2 linked regions of the Saccharomyces cerevisiae S288C genome follow. The gene in region 2 interacts genetically with the main gene of each other region. Each region holds a gene or a part of one and is shown on either strand. Other genes may lie near its edges. The genes, in order: PPS1 and YLL066W-B.

Evidence for each region.
Region 1: mutations in YLL066W-B (region 2) and PPS1 together harm fitness less than expected from each alone (positive genetic interaction), as found in Saccharomyces cerevisiae (one large-scale study listed by BioGRID).

Annotation. Positions count from the first base shown.
Region 1 is NC_001134.8:758,108-762,043, forward strand, and holds the start of PPS1 (tyrosine/serine/threonine protein phosphatase PPS1), read right to left. Parts: upstream 1,937-3,936; coding exon 1-1,936. Other genes in the region: DPB3 (DNA polymerase epsilon noncatalytic subunit), read left to right, coding at 2,187-2,792; PAF1 (Paf1p), read left to right, coding at 3,150-3,936. UniProt on the Saccharomyces cerevisiae protein: Protein phosphatase with specificity for serine, threonine, and tyrosine residues; has a role in the DNA synthesis phase of the cell cycle.
Region 2 is NC_001144.5:3,356-6,362, reverse strand, and holds YLL066W-B (uncharacterized protein), read right to left. Parts: upstream 759-3,007; coding exon 588-758; downstream 1-587. Other genes in the region: YLL066C (Y' element ATP-dependent helicase), read left to right, coding at 1-243; YLL067C (Y' element ATP-dependent helicase), read left to right, coding at 2,062-2,348, 2,448-3,007.

The sequences.
Region 1 (3,936 bases), on a different chromosome or scaffold from region 2:
TATTCGTCATAGTTATTGCACGATGTGGCCTTACAGGATGAGCAATTTTATCCTTATTCAATGTCCATGAAACAACTTCACCGACAGAAACTATATGCGTAATTCCTAGAGACTTAAGTAAGGCAGGATTTTGTGCATGATCCAGGGATCCCAAATACAAGTGACGTAGAATCCGGGATGGCAGTGGGCCCTTCAAATTAACGAAATTAGACTCAAGAGGAATCTTCATAAAAAATATGCTACTAAAAAGCTCTGAAGAAATGTGTAATTGAAAGCTTTTATCCCTAAATTTCAATGCATTGGCATATAATTTTAGATTACTTCCATTCTGCGGACTAAACTCCCGCAGGACAGGTTGTAAATGGCCTAAAATTTGCAAGTCTGATGGAAAAAGGAAAAATGGTCTTGGATGGATCCTCAAAAGAGCGTCTTGTAACGGAATATTAAAGTGGAATATAATATAAGCTGTTAATAATAATGACGTTTCTGTATATCCGTCTTCGCAATACATGAACGTCAATAATTCTTGAACTTGGGATACTTGAAATATTAAATAACAAACATTCAAAAGAATTTCCACAGACTGAATGTTTAAGTTCCCCAAACCTATACTACCTGAGGCAGGGAAAGTCAAATGCAAATGCTCTTGTGATTTTGACGCATCATCGTCTAATAAAAGATCTAGATATGTTCGGATTTTCGTTAACGACGGCATTTGCGAGTTTGACGTACATTTTATGATCAATTTCCACACCTCTTTTGTATTCGGTATGTTATACAGTTGAGAAATGGAGGTTGTCGGATTGTCCGTATCATAATTTAGAGACTTTAAATTTACTATGCTTGTATTCTCTTCGAAACGGTGGGTCAGAGATATATTGTTTTTTTTAATTATTTGATAATTATGCCAATCAGTGGTGTTACCGCAAATCAACCCTGTTTCCTCCAATCGTGTAGCTGAAGTCAGCTTATTCAACTCTAACTTCTCGCACAAAACCATATTCTTATCAACGTTATTGAAACACACTATTTCACTAGGTGACGAACATAAATTCAAGGGAGTATTATTCTTGAAAAATTCGTTGTCTAATAAAGGTGTACCAATCAAAGTTTGAGGTATATCTGTATTGAAATTCTGATAAGTGCAAATAAAAAGATTCGTCTTGTAAAGCGATCCTCCACTCCCTACATAACCCTTTTGAACAAACATTAAACAGATCTGTAAAAGTAGTGCAAGGGTTGTACAATTGGGGCAATTTCCCTCGTGTGAGCACGCTGGCGCTGATTCTGTTTGCATATCAGTGCTGCCACCAGTCCGCGAACAATAAATTACTATATTATCAACCATTTCTATCATCTTGGCACATTGCAGGTCGAACCTTCGGAATAGACCTCTCCTTCCCCAGACGTCCTGCCCACTCCGTTTTAGCGTGGTATTAGACCCAACCTTGTTTCTAGAATACCTTTTAAGTTCTAATGATAGTCCACGAGGATCTACTTTCAGAAATGGTAAAATGCTATGATTGTGACAATAAGTAGCAGCGTTTTCCAAAGCAACATCATCCACTTGCAATTCCAATTGTCGTATCTGAAACTTTAGCAAGTTCAAAAGTTCCTTTGTGTTATTGGGATATTGAAAACCATTAGAATCATTTCCAGTTTCACAGGTATCGCCCTCTCTATGAAAGGAAGTGCGAACTTTCCAGGACTGGAAGATATCATTCACTTCGAGAGAATTACGCAAAAGCGCAGAATTGTTAGCATCTGATTGCGATTTGACTATTGCAAGAGAATGAGGAAAATCGGGTGGTTGACCAAAGGAAATATCATGAGCCCAGGGGAACATTTTTTTACATTCAGGCCATTCTGCATCCTGATGTAGTCGCATAAGATCATGCAGTTCACCAGGTGTGATTGAGGGCACTTCCAAAACCATGGTTGTTGCTCTAGTTTTCTATACCCGCCCCTTCTACCTCAATGACAATCTCTCTTTTATGGTTGGTGTTTCTTTTCACTTTTTTACTTCTTCTTGTACTTTTCTTTTTGAACCTTAAAAACTCTTGCAATTATGTTTCCATGATGCTTTTGAAGTAATAATTTATTTTTATTACGCGAAATTAATGGCCTTAACAACTGCCTGCCCCAACAGATAAAAACAAGCAAGGGTCAACCGTGTTGCAAAAAAAATGTCCAACTTAGTTAAAGAAAAAGCACCTGTCTTTCCTATATCTAAAGTAAAGAAGATTGCCAAATGCGACCCCGAATACGTAATTACATCTAATGTAGCTATATCAGCGACCGCATTCGCTGCTGAGTTATTTGTACAGAATCTCGTCGAAGAATCGCTGGTCTTAGCACAACTGAATTCGAAAGGAAAGACAAGCCTACGATTAAGCCTAAATTCTATAGAAGAATGTGTCGAAAAAAGAGATAATTTCAGGTTTCTAGAGGATGCCATTAAACAACTGAAGAAGAATAGCGCACTCGACAAGAAGAGAGAACTAAACATGCAACCGGGTCGGAGCGATCAAGAGGTTGTTATAGAAGAGCCTGAATTGCATGAGGATGATGGTGTAGAGGAAGAAGAAGAAGAAGACGAGGTATCCGAAGAAGAAGAGCCCGTACACAATGAAGAACTTCTTGATGATAGTAAAGATCAACAAAATGATAAATCCACGCGCAGTGTGGCAAGCTTGCTGTCGAGATTCCAGTATAAATCCGCACTAGACGTAGGAGAACACTCCGACTCTTCTGATATCGAAGTTGACCATACGAAAAGCACCGATCCTTAGTGTTGTTGCTATTATTGCTATGTAATTACTATTCGATGCAATATGTTATACATATACATACACGCAATGAGAACCCTAACCTTGAACTTACTATTTTAAAAGGACATCTCGAAAAAGCTTAGGGATAATTAATATTTTGTAGGTTAGAGCTGTTATGTAGGGAAGAAAAACAAGGGCTTTAAAATAATAATCACATTACACGAATAACTTAATTTGTCTTTCTGAAATGGAAAAAGAAAAAAATGACGACTGTAACATTGGATGAATTAATACTGTCATTATTGATACGTTGTTAATTATAGACAGAAATGTATTCAGTACAATAGAACAGTGCTCATAATAGTATAAAGGGTCACAATGTCCAAAAAACAGGAATATATTGCACCAATAAAATACCAAAACAGCTTGCCTGTGCCACAATTACCTCCTAAACTTCTGGTTTACCCCGAGTCTCCGGAGACGAATGCAGACTCCTCCCAACTAATCAATTCACTATACATCAAAACAAACGTCACTAATCTAATTCAACAGGATGAAGATTTAGGTATGCCGGTTGATTTGATGAAATTCCCAGGCCTATTGAACAAATTAGATTCTAAACTGCTTTACGGCTTTGATAATGTGAAATTGGACAAAGATGATCGAATTTTACTGAGGGACCCTAGAATAGATAGACTGACCAAGACTGATATATCAAAGGTTACCTTCTTGAGACGCACCGAATATGTCTCCAATACAATTGCAGCCCATGATAACACATCGTTGAAAAGGAAAAGGCGCTTGGATGATGGAGATTCGGATGATGAAAACCTTGATGTTAATCATATAATTAGTAGGGTCGAAGGAACATTCAATAAGACGGACAAATGGCAACATCCGGTGAAGAAGGGTGTCAAGATGGTTAAAAAATGGGACCTATTGCCCGACACAGCTTCAATGGACCAGGTGTATTTTATCCTAAAATTCATGGGCAGTGCATCATTGGATACTAAAGAAAAAAAATCTTTAAATACAGGAATTTTCAGGCCAGTGGAACTGGAAGAAGACGAATGGATTTCCATGTATGCCACAGATCATAAGGACTCTGCCATTCTGGAAAACGAATTGGAAAAGGGTATGGATGAAATGGATGATGACTCTCATG
Region 2 (3,007 bases):
TTCTACAATAAAACATTTCGGCAGAAACTGGAATATCTTTTGGAGCAGATTTCGGAGGTGTGGTTGTTACCACATTGGGTTGATTTGGCAAACGTTGAAGTTCTCGCTGCAGATAACACGAGGGTACCGCTGTACATGCTGATGGTAGCGGTTCACAAAGAGCTGGATAGCGATGATGTTCCAGACGGTAGATTTGATATAATATTACTATGTAGAGATTCGAGCAGAGAAGTTGGAGAGTGAAGGAAATTGTTGTTACGAAAGTCAGTGATTATGTATTGTGTAGTATAGTATATTGTAAGAAATTTTTTTTTCTAGGGAATATGCGTTTTGATGTAGTAGTATTTCACTGTTTTGATTTAGTGTTTGTTGCACGGCAGTAGCGAGAGACAAGTGGGAAAGAGTAGGATAAAAAGACAATCTATAAAAAGTAAACATAAAATAAAGGTAGTAAGTAGCTTTTGGTTGAACATCCGGGTAAGAGACAACAGGGCTTGGAGGAGACGTACATGAGGGCTACTTAGGGCTATGTAAAAGTGTTGTAGGGCTAAAGAAGAGGGTTTCATTTTCATTTTTTTTAATTTCGGTCAGAAAGCCGGGTAAGGTGTGACAGCGAGAGTAAAGGTAGATGTAAGAGAGTGTGTGGGTGTGTGGTGTGTGTGGGTGTGGGTGTGGTGTGGGTGTGGTGTGTGGGTGTGGTGTATATATATGTCACTGTATTGCATGCTGGATGGTGTTAGACAAGGCCGTAGGGACATATAGCATCTAGGAAGTAACCTTGTACGAAAATAGGCAATATTTCCTGTTTAGGCGATTGTGACGCAGATTTTAGTCCAACGATCTAGCGTCAAGGAATTTTTTTATAGTGGGACATTGCACCAAGGAAGTAACTTGATACGTCGTGGGTGAATGGGTCTGTTTTCTTATTCGGCAGGGTAATACATTTTTGGGGGAAGTTTGTCTGTCTGACGCGCCATATGTAGGTACGCCAAAAAGGGCTCCTCTACTTCGAAGCGCGAGGTCGTATACCTAATAAGGAAATGTAATTTATAACTTTCTATTATATTGGTCTTTTCGAGAGCGGAAGAAGTTGTAGGCTAAGCGCAGGCTAAGCGTAGGTCCATATTTAAAGTATCCAAGAGAATATCCACGAAGCGGCTGAGCAACGAACAGAATCCTGGTTCTCCTCGACTAAGCAGATAGTTAAGATACTGTGCACCATGGAAATTGAAAACGAACGTACGTACCGACTACTTTATTTTTGCAGGCCGGAAATCAAGGATGAATGAGACATCCTTCTGTTTTCTATGTTGGGACAGACAGTCGCTTATCTTAGTGAGATTTCTTATTAACTGAATTTTCTTTGCTGCTGCTGGAGATTTGCACCTGCATAGCGCAGATTCTGCTTCTTCTCAATAGAGTAGCTTAATTATTACATTCTTAGATGATGATAAGACGGAAACTGGACAATCTTTTGTTTATATTGATGGATTTCTTGTCAAAAAGCATAACAATCAACATACTATTGTTAATTTCGAAACTTACAAAAATAAAATGAAAGTTTCCGATAGGCGTAAGTTTGAAAAAGCAAACTTTGACGAGTTTGAGTCGGCTCTAAATAACAAAAACGACTTGGTACATTGTCCCTCAATAACTTTATTTGAATCGATCCCCACGGAAGTGCGGTCATTCTACGAAGACGAAAAGTCTGGCCTAATCAAAGTGGTAAAATTCAGAACTGGTGCAATGGATAGGAAAAGGTCTTTTGAAAAAATTGTCGTTTCCGTCATGGTCGGGAAAAATGTACAAAAGTTCCTGACGTTTGTTGAAGACGAACCAGATTTCCAGGGCGGACCAATCCCTTCAAAGTATCTTATTCCCAAGAAAATCAACTTGATGGTCTACACGTTGTTTCAAGTGCATACTTTGAAATTCAATAGAAAGGATTACGATACCCTTTCTCTTTTTTACCTCAACAGAGGATACTATAATGAGTTGAGTTTCCGTGTCCTGGAACGTTGTCACGAAATAGCGAGTGCCAGGCCGAACGACAGCTCTACGATGCGTACTTTCACTGACTTTGTTTCTGGCGCACCTATTGTAAGGAGTCTTCAGAAAAGCACCATAAGGAGATATGGGTACAATTTGGCACCCCACATGTTTTTGTTACTACACGTAGATGAGCTATCGATTTTTTCTGCATACCAAGCAAGTTTACCTGGCGAAAAGAAAGTCGACACAGAGCGGCTGAAGCGTGATCTATGCCCACGTAAACCCATTGAGATAAAGTACTTTTCACAGATATGTAACGATATGATGAACAAAAAGGACCGATTGGGTGATGTTTTGCATGTGTGCTGCCCAAGTTGAGAAGAGATACTAACAAAATGACCGCGGCTCTCAAAAATAATTGACGAGCTTACGGTGATACGCTTACCGTTATCCAGAGCTACAGCGCAACGTATACGTCGACGATACAACAAGAACGGTTCATCGGAGCCTCGACTAAAGACGCTTGACGGACTCACTTCCGAGCGCTGGATTCAATGGTTAGGCCTTGAAAGCGACTACCATTGTTCATTCTCTAGTACTCGGAATGCGGAAGACGTAGTGGCAGGTGAGGCGGCGAGTTCAGATCATGATCAAAAAATTTCAAGAGTAACGCGAAAAAGGCCCCGAGAGCCCAAGAGTACAAACGATATCCTCGTCGCAGGCCAGAAACTCTTTGGCAGCTCCTTTGAATTCAGGGACTTGCATCAGTTGCGCTTATGTCATGAAATATACATGGCAGACACACCCTCTGTGGCAGTACAGGCCCCACCGGGCTATGGTAAGACGGAGTTATTTCATCTCCCCTTGATAGCACTGGCGTCTAAGGGCGACGTGAAATATGTGTCGTTTCTGTTTGTACCGTACACAGTGTTGCTTGCTAATTGCATGATCAGGTTGGGCCGATGCGGTTGCTTGAATGTGGCCCCTGTAAGAAACTTTATTGAAGAAGGTTGCG